Tribolium castaneum: one gene and its partners. The protein of the gene in region 1 purifies or fractionates together with the protein of each later gene. This does not show direct contact. Links are inferred from orthologs where the notes say so. Each region holds a gene or a part of one and is shown in the gene's direction. Other genes may lie near its edges.

Evidence for each region. The genes of interacting proteins can lie anywhere in the genome.
Region 2: the proteins of mr (region 1) and anaphase-promoting complex subunit 13 purify together in Homo sapiens (affinity purification with mass spectrometry; 3 studies listed by BioGRID and IntAct, counting the BioPlex papers as one, with this or other methods). This does not show direct contact. The link is inferred for Tribolium castaneum from reciprocal best matches to the Homo sapiens genes ANAPC2 and ANAPC13.
Region 3: the proteins of mr (region 1) and shtd fractionate together in Homo sapiens (co-fractionation; 8 studies listed by BioGRID and IntAct, with this or other methods). This does not show direct contact. The link is inferred for Tribolium castaneum from reciprocal best matches to the Homo sapiens genes ANAPC2 and ANAPC1.

What each region holds. Positions count from the first base shown.
Region 1 is NC_087394.1:29,189,083-29,193,506, forward strand, and holds the start of mr (anaphase-promoting complex subunit 2), read left to right. Parts: upstream 1-1,480; 5' UTR 1,481-1,575; coding exon 1,576-2,168; intron 2,169-2,215; coding exon 2,216-2,354; intron 2,355-2,400; coding exon 2,401-2,554; intron 2,555-2,600; coding exon 2,601-2,859; intron 2,860-3,053; coding exon 3,054-3,208; intron 3,209-3,721; coding exon 3,722-4,261; intron 4,262-4,310; coding exon 4,311-4,424. UniProt on the Homo sapiens protein: Together with the RING-H2 protein ANAPC11, constitutes the catalytic component of the anaphase promoting complex/cyclosome (APC/C), a cell cycle-regulated E3 ubiquitin ligase that controls progression through mitosis and the G1 phase of the cell cycle.
Region 2 is NC_087396.1:19,126,151-19,128,487, reverse strand, and holds anaphase-promoting complex subunit 13, read left to right. Parts: upstream 1-1,396; 5' UTR 1,397-1,530; intron 1,531-1,621; 5' UTR 1,622-1,623; coding exon 1,624-1,833; downstream 1,834-2,337. Other genes in the region: AN1-type zinc finger protein 1-like, read left to right, coding at 1,833-2,337; uncharacterized protein LOC100142251, read right to left, coding at 218-342, 391-464, 510-605, 651-1,083, 1,138-1,377. UniProt on the Homo sapiens protein: Component of the anaphase promoting complex/cyclosome (APC/C), a cell cycle-regulated E3 ubiquitin ligase that controls progression through mitosis and the G1 phase of the cell cycle.
Region 3 is NC_087397.1:4,714,695-4,718,944, reverse strand, and holds the start of shtd (anaphase-promoting complex subunit 1), read left to right. Parts: upstream 1-1,450; 5' UTR 1,451-1,612; coding exon 1,613-1,636; intron 1,637-1,683; coding exon 1,684-2,044; intron 2,045-2,093; coding exon 2,094-2,498; intron 2,499-2,544; coding exon 2,545-2,837; intron 2,838-2,884; coding exon 2,885-3,033; intron 3,034-3,133; coding exon 3,134-3,337; intron 3,338-3,388; coding exon 3,389-3,578; intron 3,579-3,619; coding exon 3,620-3,780; intron 3,781-3,827; coding exon 3,828-4,225; intron 4,226-4,250. Other genes in the region: Caf1-105 (chromatin assembly factor 1 subunit B), read right to left, coding at 1-96, 212-525, 579-959, 1,007-1,129. UniProt on the Homo sapiens protein: Component of the anaphase promoting complex/cyclosome (APC/C), a cell cycle-regulated E3 ubiquitin ligase that controls progression through mitosis and the G1 phase of the cell cycle.

The sequences.
Region 1 (4,424 bases):
AAAATTCGTCAAATTTAGAAACATTCATACACAGAATTATTTAAAATAGAACAGCATTGATCTAAAAAAATTAATTATGACAAATGTATTTGCCTATAAACGTCTAAAATTATAAAAGTTTCGCATGCAGTCAATGGAAAAATAAAAATGCATGTTTTTATTTAAACAGAAACTGGCAATGTGAAATTTTGGTGCGAAAATTAGTGGTATCGCAATGCGTATAGCAACATTGTTTGTTTGTTTCGTTTTGTTGAAAATTCGGTAGGTTTCAAAAGTAGGGTTATGTTGTCACCCGAAAATGACAAAATTTACACTTTTATGAATTTTGTCTCCATCTCTGCCCTTTCAGAGCGTTATGATAGGATATTTAGGGTCGAAATCTCTACCTTTATTATGTGCTATTGCCAGATAAGGACAAAAGTTCAGAAAGTAGGGTTAGGGTGTATTATGCTCTCTTCTGAAGTGTTAAATTTTAACTTTAATGTTTTTTGTGTGCTTTCCTGCTCTTCTAGAGCGCTATTAATTATTATTGAACATGTTTAAGGACAGACAAATCTACCTTGAGTCAACGACATAAATTTCAGTGAGATTTATTGAAAAATGCACTTCTCGTGTCAACCTTTTCATGAAAAAGGGTGTTTAAACGTTTATAAAGGGTATGTTAACGTGTGTTGTTAACTTTACCACGTAATAAAACATAAAGTATAACTTGGTAATTTTTTACTTTAACTACTTCTGGATTTTCAAGCTGAAACTTACACCAAACGATTCCTCTGAGTGCCCTGATGACCGTACACTATGAATTTTCTTGTGCAAATTGAAAATTACATTAGAAAAATAATTTTTATTTTCACTCACTTTTTACTTGAATCGCCATTTTTGTTGATTTTAATTTGAGTTTATTTTTTATAATATCACGTTAATTTTTATTATTATAGTGGATCAAAGTGTCGTCTTTAGGTTAGACTATTGCCTACTATCGGTTAGGAACAACATGATCTCCAAAAATATAACGTAGTAATGAGCTCCAGAAGGTTTACGTAGATAGGTGCGTTTTTCCCAAAAGTGAGTTTTTTGAGATCGAACCGCAAGTGAGTCACACTGCGAGGAGACTCCCATAGACAGAAGTTGCAAACATAAGGTGCCAGACCGGTGCCAGTTTGGCTGATTGCAAGTATGTCTTTATCATCGATTCGGTGACGACTATTAGTTTCGTAAACTTAATGGATTTAATAAATATCTTTAACATTAAATGTGATCGTGTCATGTTGGGTAAAATTCTTCCATCTGTGCTGTCTGTGGATCCACCTTTTCAAATACAATTAAGAAATTTTCATAATAATTGTATTTGATAAGGTATTGGCATCATTTTGACGTGAGCAAAAATTAAAAAAATATAAAGTAATCGGAATTATTTTAAATTTGCGCCATTTTTAGTACGTGATGATGCGGCTAGATGGCTTCAGCTAGGAATTCATTGCCAACCATTATGTTCCGCTTCTATAAAAGTGTTATTCTAGGAACAGAACCTAAAAGTTTGTCAGTTTTTTACGTTCAGCAATTATTATTTTTACAATGAATAATCAAAACCTGGACTTAAAAAGTGCGTGGATTACGATTAAAGAAGCTTTTCCAATCTTAGAAAGTCCTTCAAAGATCCCTGATAATGATTTCGACTCTGCCCCTTTTGAGGCAATCAGCATTATCAAAAGGCTCAATTTAACACAGCAAATTCAGGATTTGGTCATAATTAAAATAGAAGAACGTTTGAGGAAGGAAATAGTCCCAGATTTTTGGTCCCACTTTAAGAAAACCGAGAACGAGGCGGCAGTTTTTCACGAGTTCTACAGTGTGGTTAAATTTTTGTTTCACAATTATGTGCAGCTCGATTTAATTATTAACAAGTTGATACTGTTGAGAGAAGCAAGCAATTTCACTAAACCAGTGTACAATCAAACTTGCCTGCATGAAGCTTTAAAATTAATCGTTAGGGCCGTCTTGTTATCCCAACTCCCCATTGATCATGAATGGATGATAGTAAATTTTTACGAAACGGCGCTTAAAATGCAGGACCCGGAGGAAGAAAATAGCACAAGTGGGGAGTGTGTTGTGTGCATGCAAGAGGAATTTTCCTGTTCTTGTCGTGAAATGTTTGAAGAAACTAATAAGTAAATAGTTTTGTTTTTTATTTTTTTACTCAAATATTTGTGTCTAGGAAATTGGGCAAGATGACTTTATTGGAACCGTTAGTTGGCCAGGCTCTCACTGATTTAATTTATAGTTACATTCAGACACATATCCAGAAAATCTGTAAAGACAATTTTGATAATTCGCACATTGAGAGTCTAGAAAAGGTAGAAATCAGTCGTTTCTTGAATCGATTATACGAATTATTTTCAGTGGCTTCAAACGGTTGTTATTTCATGGTTGAAAAAAATTTACTTTCATAATTCGGCAGTCAAGGCCATGGATGAGTTTGACAAAAAACTAATCAATTATTTATACAACACTTACACCAAAATACGAATAGATCAGTTATTTAACATCATAATTGGTAAAAATTATTGTTTTTGTGGCAGTCTGTCATCAAATATTTTCAGAATATCCTGATTCTCTTCCGGCCCTTGACGACCTTCGACTATGCCTTCCAAAAACCGACCTAAAACCCCACTTAACTCGGTCGTTGCAAAAAGCAATTGAAACAAGATTATTACATCCAGGAGTAAGCACGTTTGACGTTCTGACGGCTTACGTGGCTACAATTCGGTCATTGCGGATTTTGGACCCCTGTGGACTGCTTCTAGAGACAATTACTCAACCGGTTCATCAGTATTTAAGGAGTCGGGAAGACACAATAAGGTTTAATAATTAAAAAAAAATGGTCTAGTTGGCATATTTGACGTTTAAGTGTCAAATTTTCATAGCTAACTGGAATTTCGGAAAGACAATAAATAGTGTAGTTGGCCTTGAATGACATTTAAGTGTCAAATTTCCACAATTAAGGGGCACTTTGTGTACAATAATTCCGAAATAGGGCGAAATTTTTAATACAGGTGTGTGGTGGGTAGTTTGACTGAAGAGGGCCCAAATGATTTAGCTGAAGAGCTGGTCCGGGGCGAAGCCGTGCAAGTGGACGAGAACATTTCGGTCGATGAGGGGGTTGAAGACTGGGAAACGTGGACCCCAGATCCGGTAGATGTCGTCCCCAGTAAGTGTCTTTTTATCGCTTTGAGGGAAATCGACGTTGGCATTTCCATAGTTTTGAAACAGAGAATAGTCACTTTTGACAAATGATTTTTTCTTCTTACGGTGACAGTTTATTTAAATTTAATAATTCTAGTGCTTAGTCACCAACCAGCAAACTAAATTATAAAAAAATATTTATTTTTGAGTTATTTGTTACAAAAAAATTGTACTTATTAACTTGTTTAGGTGCTAATTTCCTATATTTGCAATTCATGTCCTCCCCTCCTCTCCCCTCGGTCGTGCTGTAAACCACCTGCTTATGTGAAAAATTGCTTTTTTAAACGATTTATTAAATAACGACAACTGATTTTTTCCATTTACATTTTACATGATTATTTATTGTCCTCAAGAAGCCCAAAAAGTTGACGAAACGTAAGCAACAATTATAAACCAAATAAGCTTTGTCTGCCTTCCCAATAATAATTAGACTTATCCCACGTATAATATAAATAACTAATTCCCTCGAAAAATTAAGGCAAATCTTCGGGACTTCCCCGCACTTCTGACATCATCTCAATGCTTGTCAACGTCTACGGCAGTAAGGAGCTGTTCGTCAACGAATACCGCACCTTATTAGCCGATCGTCTTTTGTCGCAATACTCCTGCGACACCGAGAAAGAAATTCGTTATCTTGAACTCCTGAAGTTGCGCTTTGGTGACTCCCAACTCCACTTTTGCGAAGTTATGTTGAAAGATATCGCCGATTCGAAGCGAATCAATCAACATATTCAGCAAGACTTGAGTTATTCAGACGATGATATTCCCATGTCTGCCATGATCCTAAGCGCACAGTTTTGGCCAGCGTTCAAGGACGAGAAGCTTGAACTCCACGAAAAATTGGTGAAACAGATGGAGAGTTACACTGGTGCTTTTGAAACTTTAAAAGGTAGCAGAACCCTGTGTTGGAAAAATCATTTAGGAATTGTGGATCTTGAAATTGAATTGGCGGATAGGACTTTGAATTTGTCGGTTTCACCGGTGCATGCGACGATTTTGATGCACTTCCAAGATCAGAGTGAGTCAAAAAGATCAAGATTTTAAGCGACTTATTTTTTCGTTTCAAGATACTTGGTCTTTGGAAGCTTTGAGTAAAGTAATGCACGTTCCGTCGACAATTTTACGGCGCAAACTGAGTTTCTGGCAATCACACGGGATCATAACTGAGCCCGAACCCGACG
Region 2 (2,337 bases), on another chromosome or scaffold:
TTAAGCTCAAACAAACTTTTATCAAAAATGCAGCCTTTCATCTAATATTTCCATTTAAAAGCTTAGTAATATTGCCGCAATTTATTTCAAACAATTCAATGTTCTCTGTTGCCATTTCCTATACCTACATGTTTTAGTTTTTTTGGTAGTAATAAACGACCGACCAGTTGCACATATTATTTCAACGTTTTTTGTATTTTTATAAAATAATTACATTACTGCGTCTTGCGACGACGACTTTTCTTCTTTTGCATTATCAGCGAAAGCCTCATTTTGCGTTCAAACATAAACTCAAATGTGCTTTCAACTGACCCTCTTCCGCGATGCATATCATGAGGATTACTGCAATTACAAAAGTTTCAAACCGAATCAAATTCGGCACAGACTTACATAAACCAAGAAGATTTGGCAGCTGGTAAGCCCGTCGCGTGTTTCATTTCCCTCACAGAGGCAGTAAGTGCCATCTGAAAACAAAATTAAAAACGAACACCACTTGCACGCACAAATACTTCTTTGATTTGTTTCCGTCTCTCCCAAATCTTTAGATTTTTCTTCAGCAAGCCCAACTCAGCTTTCTTTTTCACATACTCTAAAACAGAAGGAACCTAAGGTACGATAGCCAAACTCACTTGCTTAATTCGAGCAAGAACCTCGTAATTTTCACTCTTGGTTTTAATTTTATCGTGCTCTTCCTTGGTTGCCTCCAGTTCTTCGGAAACCTTTTCACATTCGTCGTCGATTTTCCGAACCAACTCCTCTTGCATTTTGATTGTGTCTTGATACACTTTTAGATCGGTCACTTTCTTGAGCAGATGCTTCTTCTGATTGCTCAGCAGTAAATTCGCGCGGCCGTTCATTCTTTTCAGTTCGAGAAGCAGCAAATTCCTTTTATCGATTTTCTCCCTCAAGTGCTTATTATCAATTTCGAGCTGCTCAAAATCCACCTCTTGCAAGTGCTCGCCCAGTAACTTCTTCTGCGTTAATTGAGCGCATATTTTCTGGTACTGCACTTTTAGAGAGCTCGTCCTTAGGCGCAGTTTATCAATCGTAGCGCCAGTTTTTTTAAAAGTTTCGTCCATAAACCTGTCCGGCACACCACAGTCTTAAAATTAGTTTTTTAAGTGGGGATGTCTTTACCGACAAAAACGATCCGCTGGATTCTTTTGCGAATACTTTTCTGATAATTCGTTAGTAATAAATGTTCTTTCAAACGTATCTTTGATTTCTTGTATTTCACTTTCGCGAATTGCCATTTCCTCCAACTCTGCTTTCAATTTATGCCTAATAACGTAGCACTTTCTGTTGATTTTATTCAACGCTGCTTGAATATTGTCCATTTCTCGCAGTATCAAATCAGTCTTCTGCGTAATATTGATTCTTAAAATAAATATCAGTAAATTTAAATTCGCGCCAGGCACAGCGTCGCCAATTATTTAGAACAAAACTAAAAGAAACTAGAAAAAACGTTTGGAGGTAAATTTATTTGTGTTCATTTTGGCAATTTGCTGAATCACTGTGCTCCCAAATTTAGTAAGTGCCTTTAACAGCTGTATTCTAAGGCAGAATATTTGTATTTCTTGTTAGGTTTTTTGTGTAAAATTGCCATAACCCCACTTTCTAGGAATGGACAGTTCAGTGACTATTGATGGTTACTTTGTTGATTTAATTGACGATAAGTGGCGTTCCGAGAAGCTGCCTCACGACGATATCAACGTCCCCACGCACGAGCTCGCCGACCCCGAGGCCGACTCCGGAGACATCCACTTAACCCTCCAGGAGCAAGAACAAAAGTGGACCGACATTGCCCTCAGTGCACTAAGCGAACACCAGTGATGGAGCTCCCCAATTTAGGTCAGCAATGCGCCCATTCAAACTGCCAGCAGTTAGATTTTCTCCCTTTACAATGCAAATGCGGCAAACAATTTTGCTCGGAACATTTCAACAAACACGTCCAAGTGTGTGAAACCTCAACGAATGTTGAGGTAGAACCACAAAAAATTCAAAACGTGTTCAAATGCTCGTTCGAAAATTGTCACGAATCTAGTTTGGTCCCTTTGCTTTGCTCCACTTGTCGTAAACATTTCTGTATAAAACACCGGCATATCACCCAGTGTAGCGAGCCAGACGAGGAAACTCTCGCCCAAAAAAGGGAGAAACTGGCTGCGCCTGTGAGGCAGTTCAATGAAGCTAAGAGCGCGGTTGATAAACAAATCGAGCAAAATTTAATCGCGGCGAAAAAGAAGGGTAAAAATTTGGCAAACAAAGTACAACTCATGAAAATTAAAAATAAAGCGAAGGGGTTAAATAGTATTCCAACTTCAGACCGCGTTTACTTCA
Region 3 (4,250 bases), on another chromosome or scaffold:
AGCGGATCAGGTCCGTCTTCATGCAGTTCAAAGAGAATTGGGCAGAAACGGACAACTGTACTGCACTGTTTTCCAGATGGAAACAAACAAATTGGACTGAAAAAAAATTAACTAATTAATGAAGCCGATTAATAATTTTTATTCTGGCGTGTAAATTTGAAATAATACAAAATTAACTTTAACAGCTCAATAAAATTACGCTATTACTTACCTTCCCCAGTTATCTACTGCAAAAAGCAAGGTACAGTTGAGAATTTTTTTACAATCCTCGATTTCAATGCGACCTGAAGGAACAGCCAGGAGAGAACCATCAGGTGAAAAATCTAAGCGTCTGAAAAATGACTTGAACGTGTCATCATGAAAATATTTCACTTCTTTGTTGTGAAGATAATGATCTTCCGGCACCGGTAATAGACCCTTGTGCATTCTAGCCTTCACCTGTTTACCGGTATTTTCAAAAATGCGGCAGATGCGGTCGGTACTGATTGTGGCCAAAAACTGACCTCTGGGATCCCACGACACGCCCTTCAAATTTCGAAAAATTACAAACACTATATTTTTATTTAGCAATAATTTACTTGGACAAATCCCTTGTGGTCGGTTAAAATCTGTTCATTTTTGCCTTTCTGAAAATCCCACAAAATGGCAGTGTTGTCTATAGACCCCGATAGAAGTTTTGAGCCATCGGGTGACCAACACAAGTCGTAAATGTCTTCCTTGTGCCCCCGCATTACTTTATGCACTATCCATGTCTCTTTATCGTTCGTTTCTCCTTCCAGTAGAGGGATATTATCGGTTTTAAGTTGCCAAATAATGATATTTGCGTCGTCATCAGCTGTCGCGAGCTGCTGCCCCCCTGGTGACCACCGAACTGAATTCACAGCTCTTTGGTGTCGTGTTAGATCAGACAAAGCCTCGATTTTAACACTACCGTTTTCGTTTATTGTTAATTGCCAAATCTGAAGCACAGCGTCACAAGACTTAATTTTTTTAAACCGAAGCTTACCAAAACATGACAATCGGCACCACCAGTTGCTAACCTATAAAATTTCTCCAAAACGGGTTGAATATGAACACTCAAGACGGGCTCCCGGTTGTGCCATGATATTTCTGGTATCGAACACTTCATTCTACGTTTAGCGGCTTAAATTGTGAAATACGAATAGTAGCAGACACAAACAAGGCGTTTTTTACACAAAACAACAACCCAATAAAAATATTACGACCATTTGGCGCCAATTTACTAGTCTCCTCGTTGGGGATTTTGTTTTTACAAATGTAATTTTTTTGTATAAAAATGAGCAATTCTATTGAATGAATTGAATTAAATTACAAACCTTTTCGTGAACGAATATAAATTAACACAAATTAATAAAAAATTAAGCAAATACTCTATTTAACAATTAAATACTCAAGTAAAGTCTGTAAATTCTAGTAAATTTAGGTTTCTTTCATTTAGATTGCCAGCGCTGTCTGTTAAGTTTGTGAAGGTTAGAGGAGCCGATTCGGTTTAAAAAAAGCGTTTTTTAATGAAAAATAGTCGTGATTTATGTTGGTTACCATTCTGATTCATTATTGAAATTTAGCAAATCTGGATGAGAAAGTAGAAACAATGATTGCTGCCTCAGATCCACAGGTTCGTGGGTGCTCTCACTCAGTCAATATTTTGCGTAAACTTTTCAGGAGTTTGTTCCAAGTGGACGGCAGCAAACATTGAAACACCCAGGCCCCAATGGGGTGCCCCCGCAAAAAAATTTAGGCCAAACTGAGGACCTACTCCTTGATAAATTTGAAAAGGTTTCAATAAAAGAGAAAAAAGACAGTGAATGGTGGATTTTGCGGAAAACCCCCTTGTTTGAGTCTGCGGCAAGTTGGTGCTACGGGACAAAAGACAGTTCTTGTACTAAAGTTAGTGTGAATCAGGACTGTAAAAATGACAAGTCTTACAGCTATCAAAGCTGCGATCATTCACAAAAGACTAGCAAGAGAATATCTGAGAGTTTTTCGAAATTTTCACTCAAGCATGAAAGCTTGGCTCATGGGGGTACGTGGGACCAATTTTTTGCATTTTTATTTTTTTTTTGATTCCCAAGGGCCAAGCTATGAGGGTTCTTTTGCCAAAAGTCACGTCAGTTTTATGGAGGATGAACTCTATGTCAAGGGACACACGGCAGTGTGGTCCCGAGGGCTAAACAATTGTGACAATTTAGACAACGGTAGAAAAACAATTTGTGCTTACACTTCCCTTCTCCCTATAAAACACGCCGCTTGGTGCACTTTCCACTGCGAGCACCCCAGATATGAAACCGACGCTTTTCCTTTTTCTAACAAAGAAGAGGAAACTAAAGGCGTGCCGGTTCCTGCAATTTGCATCATAAATGCCCATAATATTCACGTTTTCACCCAAAAAGGTGAAGATTTCGTCACTGCTATCCCGTTCCAAATTAGCAAAATGTGGAATACGAAGTACGGAATTTTTCTCGAACGGGAAAACGAAGGTTTGCATTTTGCATTTTTTTTCATTTATTAACGCAATCTTTAAAGGCCACAATTCTACAACGTATTTTGAAAACAGAGCTTCGCTCTATTCCTTAGCTTTTCCCTTTGATGAGGTCTGTCCTGTTGCAATAAATGTTGGCACACATATCCAAGTCCTGAATAATAATAGTTTTAAATTGGTTTACACCAGCGAAAATCCAAGCATTTGTATGATTTACGATACTCAAACCAGGCAACACAGTGTTTACGTTATTAGAAAAGTAACAATCAACGAAAAGGTAGAGTTTGCAAACAGGATGAACAGCACTTTCCCTTCAGCCACCAGTTTATCTAACAGGGTAAAAGAGATTAAAAGTCGCACACTTGCGATAATTAATAATTACAGTTGAAAAGTCGTCTTTCAATGTGGGATTGCGGAAAAAACTCGAATTATTTAAGCGTCCCCAGCCCTATCAATAGCCGGCCAGGAAGCGTAGCAAGTTTTTATAACCAAATGCACCACTCGAAATCGCACAGCTCAATGGCCACAATCAGGTTGACCCATTTTTCCAAATTTTATAATACGAACTAATTATAGCAAGTTAATCGGTTTTGTTACTGAATTATACTAAAAGTGTAATTTGGGTCTTTATAGTCGATGCCAGTCACCTGCCACTTCCTCTATCGGAAGTCCGTGGTTGCAGAGAGCTTCGCGTTTGAACACTTCTATTCCAAGTGGGCCCAGTTATTGTGCACCAAACAACTGTTCGTTTTTCGACTGTTCTAAACTGATGTCTTACCTGCACACAAACCCTCTTATTTGTTTGGACCACCTATGGACTGATCCGAATTTGACTCAGTAAAGTTTTTTTTATTTAAAAAATATTCAATGATCAAGTGATTATTGTAGAGATGATAACATGTCGAGTGCCACATCTAAAGTATTTTTGTGCGACGACTTGACACACCAGTGGTACCTTTGCTACATTTTACCAGTGAAGTGCCAGTTGTGTTTAGTCCAAATCGACTTTACAGACCCGAGTAACATTCGCTTTGGAATGGTTAACAGTTTGAGTGTCAAAGACGCAGTGCCTATTCCTGTGAGTATCACACATTGAATTTTTTCCTAATTGTAATTAAGATGTGCCACATGTTGGCCGTCCTGGAACACAACGGCAACGTCAGCCTCTACTCTGGCCTTACCCTAGTGGGGAAGCTGCACATAGGGGGCACCCTCGTCCAGCACACCCCCTCGCCCTACGTCCGTCGCAACCTGGCTCAGTTTAACTCACCTTTCCCGAGGTATTTCCCAATTAAAACCTCCAAACCGCTCAACTTTGCCATTCCAGACGGAGCAGTCTTTTGCCCCATTGCAAACAACTAGACCCCAAGTTTGACGACCATTTGCTATCACCGGTGTTACCCGAGACAACAAACGTGTCTAACATCCTCCAGCTGAACTTCCAGCACGAAAGCAATTTGCCCAAAGCTGTCCTGAACGGTTTACGTGACCCGATCGAAAACCGCATCACTTTACGATACTCTGATGGCACTTACTACAGAATCACTCTGCCCCCCTTGACTGCACACCCACTAATTGAAAATTGTGTAATGGCGTTAAAGCAGTGTCTAAACCGTGACACCATTTCGGTGGTTTTGACCAGATGGTACGCCACTCGGAACGCACCAGGGGCCCAAGACATGAATCTCGAGCAAGAATGGAATGCGTTTGAAACGCTGCTTTTAGGTAATTTGGTTTCGTTCTAAATCGT